Arabidopsis thaliana: one gene and its partners. The protein of the gene in region 4 interacts with the protein of the main gene of each other region in a pairwise test. Each region holds a gene or a part of one and is shown on either strand. Other genes may lie near its edges.

Region 1 (3,545 bases), on a different chromosome or scaffold from region 4:
TTCATTTCCCATGACATGTGTATTGAACTCCTTTAATACAATAATGAGGTGAAAACTTTTTAAGATAAAGATTTTTGTAACTCCACTAGGGAAAAATCATTGTATCAAACTTTAAAAAATTTCGAAATACAAATGTTAAAATAGACCACTTAGCATGAAATGTTCGTATACGTATATAGATCGAGCTTTAAGAACTTTGTACTAATTAGGATCAAACTATAAAATATTTTGCTAATATATCAAACTGTATATGATTATCTCAACAGAACCTTGTTGTAACTTGCTATAAGCCATGTTGAAAGCTGGTTCACCAGCCGGGCACAAGCTTAGCTCCTGGCTCATCGACCGATCTGCGATACGACTTTTTCAGTGGTTAACAATAGTAATAGGTCCCTCCACTCGACCTTTTTTAATGTATATAAAAAGCTAAGATGTGAGCTTTTTTTTCTGGACATTTAAAGTTGAGTTCACATGAGACCGAACCAAAACATGAATCTGGCTATAATAAAGCGACGTGTATATGTAATATATATAAGTCTTTGTCCTCTCCACTTTATTCTATATGAAATGCATGTGGCCGTTGCTCCACATTTTTTGTTTCTCATCATAAATAAGCTAAGTAAAGGTATCTAAAAATTAATATAATTATAGTATACTAAATTTAATTTTAATCAGAATTTTGTACTAGGGATTGTGTGATTTAGAAGTCTAGGCGCATTTTTCATCCTTATTAATTATCTTTCCTTAGATTGGTAAATTATTAAGCGAAAAAGCTATGTAATGCCGTATATATATTTATACAATCAATTATGATTGATGCAGCATTTTAACCAAAGAGAAAACAATTCAACATTAAGATAAAAATTAATTTATTTTCTATATTTCCATTAATTTTCTGTTGTATATTTAAACATTATTTACGAAACAATATATTTTGATTCAAGATTTAACAATTAAATTATTGAATTTTTCACATTATATTTCTAATGAAGAAACTAATCTAAAAATACTCTACATTTGATGTATCCTTGCAATCGAAATATTCAATGTTTCCGTGTAGCAAGCAAGTATATATACTTAACTTTTTGGTCATAGGTTAACTTATAGGGTTCTTTACAAAAAGCATTGGTCTCATCTCTCATGCAAAGCACCAGTTTGGTTCAGTTAATTGAAAAGTATGTTCCTTAGATTCTCTGATTGAAACGATGATTCTAGTCCCTCTCCAGTGTGTGTCCATCCCGTGTTAAAAGAAATTGACAAAACTAAAATAAAGAAAGATTGCCATTCTCTTTAAAAAAAGATTGTCTTTCTCTTTAAGAAAGATTATTAAACAGTGAACATAAAGAACCACAAATTACTCTATTCTGACTGTAAATATCATAATTAACCAGCATATGTTCACATACAATTTTTGTTTTATCTAATCACTAACTAAAATGATAAGTTTATTGAAGATAATATGGAATTGATAATTTTTTGTTTTTTTTGTTGAATCTTCTAACAAGAATGAGAGAAAACTATATGAAGTATTCAATTCCAATATGAAAAGTTAAACTTTTTCTAGGAGTGTAAAGAAATATCTCATTCTTGAATTTCTTAAAACGTGTGAAATATGGACTGTTTTCTTCATCACTAAGCTATTACTGGTTACATAATTTTCAAATTTGTTAATTTATTTTTGTTATATGGACCCAAAACAAGCTATTGGTGCCCTACACAATATTTCCTGCTTTTACAAAAGTTGGCTCTGCCAAATAAAAATTTTCAAGTTTTTAACCCCACCATAGTGCAACATGACTCAAAAGCTGTTTATACAGTATAGTCTACGGTCTTACATCGTATTTTGGAAATATGACCAAATTACCCCTTGGTTTGTCCATAAATATCAAGCTCCAACAATGCAATTCTTCCCTTTTCCCCTTCTAATTTCTCTCATCTCTCTATTAGAAAAATTATTAGCAATTATGTTGTCCACTGCACCGGCCTTTTCATTCTCCGAACCGGGTTTGGTTAATCAATTCTCGGGTTTCCAAACCGGGTTCACTCCTTGGGAATGGGATTGCTCTGATCTCTTTTTCGTGGACCAAATGTCTCTTGAACCGGCCATCCCTAGTCCTTGTTATGGTGAATCCGACACTGGTTCCGTCAAAATTAATTCCGGTTCTCATGACATGAAAACCGGTTCTGACGAATCTTGTGCCGGTTTCGTCAAAATTAATCCTCGTTGTGACGACGCCGACATATCAAACGATCTACCGTGCTCTCAAGCAGATGAACCGGACTCGGACGACACAAAACAATTGACAGCCATCACAAATTTCGGTTCGGGAGAGAATAACCATAACCGGAAAAAAATGATCCAACCGGAGATGACCGACGAGCGGAAGAGGAAGAGGATGGAGTCAAACCGGGAATCAGCGAAACGGTCAAGAATGCGTAAACAAAGTCACATTGATAACTTACGAGAGCAAGTAAACCGGTTGGATTTAGAAAACCGTGAGCTCGGGAACCGACTCCGGTTAGTTTTACACCAGCTTCAACGAGTGAATTCCGACAATAACCGGCTCGTGACAGAACAAGAGATACTCCGGCTAAGATTGTCGGAGATGCGTCGGATTCTGATCATTAGACAACTTCAACAACAGCAACAATGGGAACTACATAACCGGAGAATGATCATGACTGAACAAAACCACCCTCATCTTCAATGATAGATCAAAATATTTAAGAAGAAAAAATATCGAAAAACTTAGAACAATAACCAAAAAAAAAAAGCAAAGCAAAAAAGAAACTCTCGCTATGTCTCTCTATCTCTCTATGTAAATGAAATGAAGGTTAGGAAGAGAAAATGATAGTTTTCTAATTTTCCTTTCCACTTTCTCGTTTTCTATATGTTGTGACTCCACTACACTAGAGAAGAAGGAAAACAAAACAGATTTTTATTTTGGTTTTCTTTTTCCCACTCTCGTGTATGAGATAAATAACTTAAAGAGTTATTAAATTAATACAACGATTTACATTATTACTTAGTGGAAACTGGAAAGGCTTTATGCGCATTGACATCATGCTACAACGCCCATAATTGTTGAAAAGATACACTGTATTTTAAAGTACTAAACCAAGCCTAATAAACCGGTTGCCACGATCCCAAATACTGTAATATCACTACATAATATATCTTAATCGTTAAAATGCCTATCTCGGCCCAAATAAAGTTTTGGAACATAAAGCCCAACAATAATTTAGGTCCTCAAGTCCATTTTTGTTACGACCCTAAAAGTTTTCCCTTGATGAAAGAGCAAAGATAAACCCTAGTTTGTAACTGAACAATTAGAATAAAGATTGTGATTATATGAAGTGATTATCAAACAAATGATTCAGAAATCGGAAACGAAGAAAGAATCAGAAGAACAACGATTTTCTAATTTCCTCTTTAAGCTTTAGAAAGACGAAACAGAACATAATGAAAGAGAAAAAACAGAGCTTTTCTTTTTTTGTTTCCTGCCGCAGGACTTGGTTTCAGTTTTCAGGTTGTGTAATGAAAG
Region 2 (3,846 bases), on a different chromosome or scaffold from region 4:
CATGCAAACAAGGCGATGGCAACATAGGAAGGAGATAGGAGATTGATTAGATTTTTTTTTTGTCAATCAACAACTAGCTGCTGTAGAAGAAACTTTAGATCAGAAAACAGAACAGCTAATCACTGCTAAAGAGTTTTCCTCTTCTTTGTCATGAGACATTCCACCATCTTGTGGATTCTTGATCTTTGTAGCAATCTTCTTGCTCATAGTTGTCTTTGCTCTCATTTTAAAGTTATTTTCTTGAAGACTAGAGATCAGAATTTTGACCGGAGAGAGTAAACCATATTACATGATTCCACTAAATTAACACTGTTACAGGTTAGAATCACGGACATGGATGATTGCTCACTCATGTGGACTTGTCTTAACACTGACCCAAATAAGCCAAAACTCCTTAATAGCATTAAATGATGTGAAAAAGAGAGATCACATTTGGAAAAAGGGTTTAGGGCAAAAAAGAGTGAAGCAGACAAAGACATCATTCAACGTCATCAATAGGTCTTTGTAAGAAGAGATCAGAGAAGAGTTTAGATGGAGTTAATAACAATCATATTTATCACATACATATACACATATATGAAAGAATTAACCATTTTTTTGTTTACACTACTACTACTACTACTTGATAACAAAATTACTGCAAATTAATTAAACAAACAGAAAAAGTTTTTTTTTTGTGACAGAAGAAAATGAGCTTGAAAGTAGAAGAAACTAAAAACAAAACCAAAAAGAAATCCATCTAGTTAGGAGGTGGAAGCCAAACTCTCATCACTAAGCAACTCTTCCCAGAAACCATCATCCAACTCTCTCTCTACCACCAGTTGATGATCCTCTTCTTCCAACATATTCCTCTGTTTTCCATGCCCTTGCATCTCCAAAGCCAAAACTTCCAATTCCGACATCGAAGAAGAACCTCTTTTCCTCTTTGCTGACTCATTATCCTCAAGCTCCTTAATTTTTTTATCTCTTTGTTTCAACAACTGATGCAAAAACGAAGGACTCTGCATTGCTCTAGCCAGAAACGACATCATTTGTCTCTGTTTCCTCTCTGTTCCTTCTATCCTCTGTTCCATAGCTTTGATGTAGCTTTTCGTTGTTTGTTGCTGCTGTCTTAGACTCACTATCTCCATCATTAGCACTTGCTTCTCTCTGCGAAGCTCGTTGCAAGCGTCATGGCTTGGTGAAGATGATGGAGTAAAAGGGTTTCTCCTCTTGATGTTCTTCAACAACTGTCTTTGTCCTAACAAAAACTCTTCGTTTGCAAATTCCCATCTCTCTGCTTCTATCTTTCTGAAACCCTGTAATTTTTTTAACATAAGTATTCAAAAACTAATCTTTTGAAAGTCTACATATTCTCACAAACATCAATAATTGGAGTGAGAACTCTTTCTATGTTTTTATATGTTAAAGAATGGAACAAGTGGGCAACGTTAAAGCTGATTAGTGAATAAACAATGGAAATTGGGATAAGATCGCTGACTGTTTCTTTTGATTATTTTAGTAAGCAAGTTGACACGAAACTTGCTTCTGGAACTTACTAAACCTTCTTCTACTCCACTAGCCATTACGGAATCTACATTTTCGATGTTTCTAGAATGCTAAATTAACAACAGATTCTGCTGTAAAAAATGACTTTTTTCCATTACCAAGTTAATTATATAGTAACATTCAGAATACTTCGCGGTAATTTTCCAGCAACAAGGGAAATGAAAGTTAAAAAAATAAAAGAAAAAAACAGAGCATTCCTCTGCTTTGAATGCTCTGTTTTGTGTTTGGTCAGAGAATACAGAGCAGAGAAGACTCACATAAGTATTGAGTTGTCTGATGAAACTTGAGAAATTGCTGTGTTTGAAATGACGAGGAAGGAGAATCGTGGAGAAAGAATGCAAATCCCAGACGACAAAACTTGTTCCTCCTCTGTTCCAAGATACGATGTGGTCAGTGTTTGGATCATCCACCATCTCAAATGTCTTGGTCAGAAATGGAGGTGGAGCATTTTCGTGTAAACCCTCCATTGGTTGTGGTGGTGGTGGTGGATCGCAGCCTTCCGGGAGAAACGGGTTCATCATCCTGAGGTAACGGGTTTTGAAAAACCCAATTGGAAATTAAAGACAAGATTCTTGATGATTTCGATTAACCAGTCTCCGAAGTTGAGTTCATCATCTTCGGATTTTGAAAAACTGGTCGGATTAAGTTCGTTTATGGCAGTTGATGGAGTGAGGAAGGTAATGTCCACGTAAGATAATTTTGAGGTGGCTTTATATAGGAAGAGTAGAAAGTGAGTGATGATATTAGATTTGATTAAAATATTTGTAAAAATTATTATTATAGTACACTCAAGTTAGAAATTAGAAACTTCTGGAAACGGTTTTGGACCTTTTTGATGCACATTCGAATAGTCGAAACTTCTGGAACTTCGTAATTGAGGACTGTACGGTATGGTTTTCACATTGTTAGTATTAGGACCCACCTTTTGTGTTTTACAAATATAAAAACAAAGAGTGATGCAAATGGCAAATTGTAATTGGGTTAAGTTTGGTTTTAATGTTGATGTGGCTGTTGTCTCATCTTGACATTTGGCTTGGGTCTAAACCGGATTGGTTAAGGCTAAAATAAAACCAACCAGAAGTACTCCAAGAGTTGATTGACAAATTCCCTGCAATTCGAAGGCCTCCATTAATTTCTGACTAGTAAATTTCTTAGGTATTTTTCTTTATAATATATAAGTTAGAGATATTTATAAAATATACACTTTTATATTAATATATGGCTACAAAACATTTCTTCTTTTTAAAGCAAAAACTTAAACCCTTAACCCAAAAGAGAAAAAATGGGTACATGCCTTAAAATGGACTACTCAGGTAATTCAGAATTGGTCGGTCAGAACAGTATCTGGAGCACAACTTCGTTGTTGTATTTTTTCTTTACATTCGTAGAACATAGTTTCTAATCAACAAAAAAATACACGAAAAAAGATAATAGTAATTCACTAGCAAACAATTTGTATATATTTTTTGTCGTTTGACCTTCAAGAATGGGTACATGTATTTAAATCAGTTTATTCTGAATTGGCCGGTTAAAACAGTATCTGGAGCAGAACTTCGTTGTTGTTTTTTTTTTACATTCGGAGAACATAGTTTTTTTTAATCAACAAAAAGAAAAAAAGATAATAGCAACGCTAGCAAACAAATTCTATATAGGTTTTGACCATACATAGAACAAATCCTAATTGGTCCGCTTGGACTCTTCCTAGAAGCTGTAGACTTCGTAGCCACCTTTTTGATGCAATCCTCAAACATGTGTCGAACAGTCTAAGTGACACTTGATGCATTACCGCGATGCCTCATGGTACGTGTTTGTACTCAACATCTGGTCTGTAGTACCAGAGACAGACAGGATGATAAAATATAGTAGAGATTTCGAATTATTTTATATTCAGCAACCTGCTTAACAAAATAATGTGGAGACATTTGATTGAACCATTTCTTTTGACTTTTTCTCCGAAAATATTTTTTAATAGTATGAATGAAGTTACAATTCGGGATTATAGAGTAGACTAGCTAGTTTAGTATTTGGTAATTGGTGCTTATCGATTAATTCTATGCGTTAATACTTTGTTACGTATAAGCATCAATTTTGATGGTCTATTTATTTATTAAACACAAAATTTCATTGTCTATTTCAAAGCAAAATCATGACATTTTTTTATTTTTTACTCCATTTTAAACAAGTCATGTTGATTTATGATATTGTTGTAGTTCCACTAAACACGTTTTTCATTTAATTGTACGTTTGGAAATAAATATGTTACTTAAAAGAGAAATATTGGCATAATATTACCTCCTC
Region 3 (4,764 bases), about 15 Mb from region 4:
GAATTTTAACCTATGCTAGACATATTTGTTGTAAAACTCGAATATTAAACTGGTTTGATTCTAAATCTCTGATTTCATTTGCAACTCCAAGGAGAAATCGAGTTATTATAAAAATAAACAATGTAGCAGCTTCTGACAACGAGGAAAGTTCCAATGGTGCACCCTCTCAGCGTGCAAGCCTTTTTTATTTATGGGTAAATTTTGAACTTATCTGAACCATACCATATAACTACTATTTCCTTCTTCTTTTTTTGACAACACTATATAACTACTAAATTAAAACTATACAATACCCAACTTTTACAAAATCAGCTTTCCCTATAAATATTTCTTAAAAAATAACGAAAAGAACTTGGGTGAATAAAATAATTTACTGAAAACGCATGTGATAGCAATTATATCACTCTGCCACTCCCACACTATTTGATTCCCACCAAGTGTGAACACAGCTATGAAATTTACCATAGTTAACAAAATGTTACATTTACTGGTCAAAAAGCCTAAATTGAGAAATAACACGTTAAGTTCATCATAATTCATAATCATGATTTTTAACCCACTCGACTACTGAATTCTTAACCTAATCATGATTTTCAATAATAGAGATAACCAAGAACATATTAGCTTAGACTCCTGAGAATTACACTTAATAGTCAATAATAAGATGGGAATTATGATGCAGGTTGATGATTATCCCTAATCTCTCCCTATAATATTAAAAAGTTAGAAGTACAAAAAACAAACATTATTTCTCAAGTTAAAATTACAAATTCAAGATTCTAAAACTTTGTAAATAACCACGAAGCAAGGTAATATAGCTCTCGGGTTATAAACCACAAGCTCCTCAAGATTCGAATAAACTCCAGCATTGACCGCCACCGAGTCAAACGTACCACCACTCGAAGAAACTCCAACCACCGAGTTATCCTCCACCGTTGACTTCTTCTCCGCTGTAGCCGAAGCATCCGCCGCCGGTAAATCAACTCGCTTAACTCTCCCAGCGATCACACGGCACACAAGCATCACTCTCCTCGCATCATCGCTACACCTCAGCAAATCATCAGCTCTTCCGCTGCTCGCCGTCGTCCTCACACCGGCGTTTGCGACGTTGGCTCCTCCGCCACCAGATTTTCCTTGGAAACCGTGGCGAATCACGGTGCAGACGCCACAAACAGGGAGGTTAGAGCAGAGAGAAGAAGAGCCACGAGCTCCGAGTGAACAAGTGAGAGTGGTGCAGTGAAAACGTAAGAGCTCGTTGCCGTCGGCGGCACAACGAGCATCTTTTCTGGTTGCTTGAAGTGCACGCGCCTTCACTGCGTCTCGGCAATCCTCAAACCGTTGGATCGTACGTTGAGTGTTGTGGACTTTTAATATCCGTTCGATCTGACAGATGGGACTGTCTTTTTTAAGCCAGCTTGATTTGAATATGATCTCCACTATGTTTCGACCCGAATCCTCCGGACCTAACTCCGAAACTGCAATTAAACGACAACGTTTTTGCTCATAAAATCAGGAAAAATATGCAAGTCAAAACAAAAATCTGAGTTTTTGGGACATTAAAGACAGTTCTATAATTCGGTTTTTGTCAGGTGAGGGGTTTTAATTCTGATACTGTCGAATTGAAAAATGACACGTAATATTTCAGGGGGACATTGAATTTAGTTAAGAGCAGAGACAGCTGTTTCTTTTTATAGTACAATGGTCCCATCGCATGGTAAGTGTTTCCAAGCAAAACGACGGATTTGGAGACCATAGAATATATCTTGTTCTCCAGTTATATTCCTATTCTCTTTTGTATCTTTCTCTAAAAATACGTATGAATCTCTATTCCAAAAACAATCTGTAACATACGGCCAAATCATCCTAACTTATTTGATCGATATAATCACCGACAATAACACTGAGATCTTGATTCCATTAAGAAACAACGAAGTCTAAGATATATATTAATGAAAGCATGTTCGTTAATTATTTGCTTAGCATTATGGTAAATCTATCGATAAATCCAAGGGCCTATACGCCGGAAAACATGTGTTAATGCTAATTATTCAATCAATACTAAACAAACAAAGGTTGTATCATCATTCACAAGTCAAATCATGGACTGAGATCTTAAGTTTTTTTCCAAGGATACAAAACATAATCTTACTTTGCCAAGCCATTCGCATTTACGAAAATCTCACTAGATACTTAGGGTTAAATTTAAAAATGTGACTACCACACACCAAAAAATAAAAAATTGTAGCTAAAGCGTAATTAATTAATTTGAGGTAAGTGATAAAGTCAAACAATTTTTGTTAAAAGGAAAAAAAAAGCCTTACCTGCGTGACGAACTGCTTGATGAAGCTCTAAGCTTTCAAGCTTGGGGAAAACTTCTCCACATTGGGAACAAGCACAAACCCTAGGCGAAATCGGATACCTAAAATTCAAGAACATGAAAATGAAATTACAAAAATATAATTCAGAAGAACATTTACTTACTCATAATTAATTTTTGGTGTCATTACCTGCTCGGGTCAACGATCATGTGACATTCGTAACATCCGGAGAGTTTACGGAACTGCATGGCTCTAAACGAAGTCGTTGACGATGACGTGTAACTCCCACTGGCGTTAGATCTCGTTGAGCCAGATGTAAGAGACCGAGACGAAGAAGAACCGTGTTGACCAGGTTTCCGAGTCAGAAGCCGAGTCTCCGAGTTAGGAGTAGCCGAGTTACCTACGTCTGGTGAGTGATCAGCTCTATGAACCACACGAGTGTTGCCGTGAGCCACGTCTCTAAAGCTGCAAATGGAGCTGCACGACGAGCCAAGCTTGGAAGGAGATAAGTTAGTTGTCATGGACGGACCAGATTGAGAGTTCTTGGAAGGATCATGGACTCTTGACCCTTCGATTTGTTTGCAAGTCAATAGGTTCTTGATTTGGTCCCATGAAGATGGCTGCTTCGGAGGTACTGCTTTCTTCGGTTTCTGCGGTTTATGTTTCTGTGTCTGCGTTTGGTCGGTGGGATTATCGCGTTTCTTTCGTTTGCTAGACGTTGGCTTGTGTTTTTGTGGCGCCTCTGCGTTCTCCGGCAAGAAAGTTAGTAAAGCCATTGAAAGAAGAAAGAAACTCTTGAGAATGTGAGAGTTTCTTTTGTGTTCGTCTTTATGGTTCTTTAATTATAAGCTTTTATTTTTAGGTGTTGAAATCGAAGATGGATCCAAGATGGGTAATAAGGAGGGAAGAAGATTAAAGTAGTGGGCTCTATCTTTCTTTAATTCTTTATTTTACAGTTTTACTTTCTTACCCTTCTGATTAATATTCTTGTCGTTCGAATTTATTAAAATTATAATCTTTTAATAGAAAATAGGGTACTAATTTAACTATATTCAGATATCTTGTTTTGTCAGAGAAAAATATCTTTCTAATTAATTTTGGCATCTGGTTGCTTGCTTTGTTAGTTGTGGATTTTCCTCAAAAGAAAAAACAGTATTTAATTATGGATTTTGGATAGATAGTAAATTACTTTTTTGATGATTATAAATTAGTTAGAAGATCTTGAAGTTAATTTTTTTGGACGAGCTTGGTTGGCTTTGTATGTGCTTTAACTGCTTCATCTATAATCTTCCATTACAGTTTGACCTTCTTAAAGGCGGAATTAGTCAACGTCACTGATGTTTATATTGGTAGTATTGATTTGTTTGGTTATTATACTCAAAACTTTGAATGGAATCTCTTTATTAATAGTCGTTACTACATAATAAAAATGTATAAGTTCACCATTAAAACAAGTTTGATGACAGAAATAATTAGTTTTAAAAATCAAAGTTTGGAGATTCCATGAATGCAAGCAAGACAACAAGAAAAGAAATGGAATTAATTAGTACATCAAAAATATAATAATAATAATAATTCTAAAAATGATGTTGTTGATATGTATGGTCAAAAGTATTTTTTTAACAGAACAAGATTACACGTTAAACACCAGACAAGGTCTTTGGAAACTTCGTATTTGGAACTGTGATTACGGATTCCAAATGTTCTATTTGTCTCGATTTGAAAATTTCAATGCTCTTAATTCCTTGTTTCCTAAATAGTTTGGTACATTTATATCATTTTTACTTCAATAGTTTTTGGTCTCAGTTTGTATGTAAGTATTTCAGATTTATGCAATGTATTACTTCATATTGATAGACTATTTTTTTCAAAGTAATTAGGATAGGGTGTCATAAACTAATCTCAGTACAGTAAATAGAGGTGGAGTTACACTTGAAGTTTGTGTAAAAAAGTATGGGTGTAAATTCATTTATTAATATACTGATTATCATAAAAAACAGTTTAATGCACTAAATAAATAATAATTTAATGTGTAATAAATGTCGACATTATGGGAAGAACATTTTTAATGTGATAACTCAAGTGAGCTTGTATATTTTTAGATTGTGGTAATTGCGTTCAAACACAACACACAATTTCGAGTAATTATATTAATCATTCATCATCAATAACATAAAAGTAAATTAATCATATTTAGGGTGAAAATTTGTAGCAATCAAAAGAAACTACGATTTTAAGGTTGATCGTTGACTATATGTAAAATTCTAAGACCTTCACATTCGCCGCAATACTTGGATTTATCACGCAGTCGCTTTGGCCTTCTCACTTGTCGTGTTCCACATTTGTCCTTCTCTTTTGTTTTAAACTTTGGTTATAAAAATCACCAGAGATTGTTATAAAGTCATTTCGTTTAAAATTTTGTTAAATATGTTATGTTCATTGAGAC
Region 4 (4,213 bases):
AAAATATATGAACAAATTGGTTAATTTTTGTAACTTAGGGTTAGAAACTAAACAAAATAACAAATGATACTGCAAATCAGTTATTGAAAGTCTAAATAATACGCAATACAATCTTTCTTAATCGTTGTCAAATTTGTAAAGTTTGTATATATAGTATCTCAACTTGAAGTTCTCCCGACGATGCTGAAAGACCATTTAAAAATAAATATATATATATATATATATAATGTATGTAGCCATAAAATCTTTTAAAAGATATGGATGAGAATTATATTTCATATCAGTTTTTTTACTTACTATGATTAATATGCATTTTTTGAGATGGAGGGTAAAATTAAAATACAATGGCGGCTTAAAGGATTTTTTTTTTTACTGTTGCATAAACCCAACAAATTACTATGTTTTCGTAAATTCATTTTTTAAATATTAATCTTAATTTTCATATTATCTTGACTGGTGTATAAAATAGTATACAGAATATTTATATATATATATATATATATATATATATTTTTTTTTTCCTTTTATTACTAGAATCGGTCACAACTTGTATATATATAGATAAAGGAAATTGTCAAAAAAATTACTTATTCATATATATAATAGATGAAATAAGAAGGATTACAAGTTATTACATAACATGAAGTTTCTTGACAAGAGATTCTCTACCATGCCATAAATAGAGAGAAATGCAATAGAGGAGGATATGGGCAACCACATTTTGATTTACATAACGATGCTTTTTTAGGTTTTCATTCAAGGCTACAAACATCAAGTTCACCTATGTTGTATGGACATTAAGGTAGAGCAAGAGGAGCTCAGCTTAATCTGAACAATGTATCCATATTTCCTAAATCATATTGCCAAGGCTGCAAATTGGGCATCGGGTTCTTGTGTAACAGGTGGTTGATATTTGTTGTATCGATTTTGTATTGCTTGGACTTGTTTTTGGTTTTGCTGTGGTTGTTGTTGGTGTCGTCGAAACTGTAGGTTTCCTATCTCTCTCTCAAGCAATTGCTGCTCCACTGTATTAACCAACCAAAATCAAAATTTTACAAGAGAACAAAATAAATGCATTTTGATCCATTTTAGTAGTGATATGAAAGGTTAAATACCATGTTTAAGCTTTTGGATTTCTGCTAAACTATCCATACGTTGTTTTAAAGCTCTATTTTCCATGCTAAGCATGAGTAACTGCTGATCCAAGTAGTGAATGGCAGATGACATTTCACATCCTTCAACCTATTGAAGAAAATCCAACATGTATAATATAACATTAGGAATCTTTTCATATTATTAATGAAATTAAAGAACTTCGAGAAATACACGAGCCTTTAGAATCTTACTTGTAGCACTTGGATGGTCCTTTCAAGGTCTGATATGTACTCAAGCCTTCTCAAACGCGCTCGATGAGCATTTTGACTGCATTTTAATAATTTTCGATAAAATTGTATATTATTAAACCGCATCAGAAATATGTTTATCAACCTATATTAGGAATGTGGTCTAACTTATCCCAACAGTTAGCTCAAGAGTTAAGGATTGCCAGATAATGCCTAAAGATCTTAATCTCAATCGATGTGGGACATTTTAATAACCTATTATAAGTACACATGACAAAGATAAGACTACTTACTGTTTGATACGTTTTGAGTCAGTCTTTGATCTAGGACCATCTGGTTTTGTAGAAGTTCCTTCTTTCATTTTGCTTACATGTTTCTCAATGGGTTTCGACGACATATTTAAAGCTCCGCATGACATATTTCTTTGGATATTAGTTCCATTTGCTGTAGAGAAATCCCATCCTAATTTATTGTGTTGTTCATAAGAGTTGGACTGCCACAAATCATAGTTCTGGAACTGCCAAGACGAACCAGCAACATGATTTTCCTTCGAAGGCATTAAAGCTGAGTTCAAGTAAGCAGCTGTGTCACTAGCTGAACGTCTATGACCTTTGTTAATCTTAGGTGATGCTGGCTCACTTAGGAGCTCATCGAGCCAAGCTGGTTGGTCTTCTGTGAAAAGATCATCTAAAGAAGCACTATGGTGGTGCATATTATTAGGAGGAGAAATGTTATTTTCCATGTTTTTTTGGGGAACTCGTGATTGTGATCTTCCAATGAATCCGAAATTTCCCGGGTTTGACAACCTCCTTAAATTTTCCATTCTTCAAAACCTATAAGGTATGAGCAAAACATGTATAAGAAAACCATTATCATGTAATGACAAGAATTGAAGATACAGTTTCTTTAACATGCAAAGAACATACCTAAGAAGACGTACGAGATTAGGAGACGTGTGATTGTTAGACCTTCCACGGGGAGGAAAATGGCATAAGCTCCTCCCGTGTGGTTGGTTTCGATCACCTCTTCTCCTTAGAATGCAAAAAAAAAAAAAAACAAGAAACAATCTCTAGATCACTAAATAGAGGAAGATACCATATTGAAACAATCCATGTTGATGATTTACATTGCGTGGTTTTCGTGAAAACAACAATTCTTGTCCTTATGCTTTATTTGGTCTATTATTTTCTCAGTTATTTTTGCTTTTTCACTTTCCCATAATAGACTCCACCATTGGTTTATTCAGACTGGGTTTATTGGTACACAATACTACAAAAGCTTCGAGGAATTCTTTCATTTTTTATTCATCGAATTTGTATAGTAAGCTCCGTAATATTTTTATGTGATTTATCTACACGCTTCTAATAGATGCAAAATCAAAATATTACTCTCACTATCATATGAGATTGACAATGTAATGACGTGGGACAATTTCTTTCTTTTTTTAGTTAATAATCTTTTCTATTTACATAATTATAAAATTCTAATGTTATTATGAACTTATAAAGTACTAGATATACAATATATATATATATATATATATATATATATATATTTAAGAGAACTATAAAAAAATAAGGAGAAACTTTGTTAAATATTAAGAAATTGATATGTTCAAATGTTTAATAATTTGCACTTTAAACTCTAAAGCTGAAATTTAGTACGAAATGTTATCAGCTTTAATTTGATAAATAATTATAAGTGATAGTTTGCACTTTGTAGATTCTATACCATCTCTATACTATTATTTGAGAAATGTTGTTAGCAAAATAACTAGATGTTACTAGATTTTAATCCGCGGTATACCGCGGGACGATTTATTTTTTAAAAGTAATATATATTAAAACTTGCAAATTTTATTTTATAAAATATTTATATTTTACAATTTATAATTGTTATTAACTAACGCTATACCACGAATCCATGAGACAATTGTTAAAAAACTGAAGTTTTAACCCCTATTAAAACAGCATATTAATAATATTTTAAAATTTTATAAATATTAATTCAAATACATCCGCCATATAACTCAATTCTAAAATAAAACCCGTTCTGTAATTTCTTTACCCGTCCTGTGATTTTTTTTTAAGTAGTAATTTTTAAAATTTAAGAATTATTTTTTATATAAAAGTTTTGCAAATTGTATCATTTTCTAATACATTTATATTTTATAGTTTAATTTTATATATAGTAACATTATACATACCACATAACATTTTTTGTTTTATATAATCTTTTCTAAATTAGGATGATTTGATATGTTTAATATTAGTGGTCTTAGAAAATAATAAATTAAAGATTTAACCCGTATTGAAACGGTGGATTAATTATATTTTATTTTTTTTATTAATGTTGATTCAAAAACCCGTCTCTCTAAATCTGTCTTGCCAAAAAGCCATTTATTTATTAATATTATTTTTATTAATGATATGACTCTGAATTATAATCTAAACATTTTAGTTAATAACATAGGAGTGCACCATATTTATTTAATAGGGGAATGTACCATATGAGCCGAACGCACTTTTATCCAAATCCACCAAAAAAGTCTTGCAAAAATACTATAGAGATAAGAAACGATTGTCGGTTTTGATAGGTATAAGATTAGCAAATATATTTGTTAGCTTAAATTAGTTAAAGAATACAAATTGAAAAGGTATATTACACTTTATTCGAATATAGTATCAAAACTTATATAACACAGAGATTTGTTATTTTTTAATTGTTGAATATTTTTTTTTGTGCTAATTTTTATGTGATTAAGATTTAATTGATTTCGTAAATAAAATATTAAATTGTTTACGAACTTATTTGTTTATAATTTGGTAATAGATAGATATTTGAATATTCAGTATATTTTGCTTCAGTTT

Evidence for each region.
Region 1: the proteins of AT1G35490 (region 4) and bZIP7 interact in a two-hybrid assay, tested with the Arabidopsis thaliana proteins (one large-scale study listed by BioGRID).
Region 2: the proteins of AT1G35490 (region 4) and HSFA7A interact in a two-hybrid assay, tested with the Arabidopsis thaliana proteins (one large-scale study listed by BioGRID).
Region 3: the proteins of AT1G35490 (region 4) and AT1G75710 interact in a two-hybrid assay, tested with the Arabidopsis thaliana proteins (one large-scale study listed by BioGRID).

The regions. Positions count from the first base shown.
Region 1 is NC_003075.7:17,722,007-17,725,551, forward strand, and holds bZIP7 (basic leucine-zipper 7), read left to right. Parts: upstream 1-1,632; 5' UTR 1,633-1,793; coding exon 1,794-2,711; 3' UTR 2,712-3,031; downstream 3,032-3,545. Other genes in the region: GRF2 (growth-regulating factor 2), read right to left, coding at 3,527-3,545.
Region 2 is NC_003074.8:19,263,517-19,267,362, reverse strand, and holds HSFA7A (heat shock transcription factor A7A), read right to left. Parts: upstream 2,223-3,846; 5' UTR 2,070-2,222; coding exon 1,806-2,069; intron 1,299-1,805; coding exon 744-1,298; 3' UTR 557-743; downstream 1-556. UniProt on the Arabidopsis thaliana protein: Transcriptional activator that specifically binds DNA sequence 5'-AGAAnnTTCT-3' known as heat shock promoter elements (HSE).
Region 3 is NC_003070.9:28,427,136-28,431,899, reverse strand, and holds AT1G75710 (C2H2-like zinc finger protein), read right to left. Parts: upstream 3,230-4,764; 5' UTR 3,095-3,229; coding exon 2,508-3,094; intron 2,420-2,507; coding exon 2,322-2,419; intron 1,476-2,321; coding exon 772-1,475; 3' UTR 561-771; downstream 1-560.
Region 4 is NC_003070.9:13,059,809-13,064,021, reverse strand, and holds AT1G35490 (bZIP family transcription factor), read right to left. Parts: upstream 2,474-4,213; 5' UTR 2,270-2,473; intron 2,177-2,269; 5' UTR 2,167-2,176; coding exon 1,637-2,166; intron 1,423-1,636; coding exon 1,347-1,422; intron 1,243-1,346; coding exon 1,116-1,242; intron 1,026-1,115; coding exon 856-1,025; 3' UTR 567-855; downstream 1-566.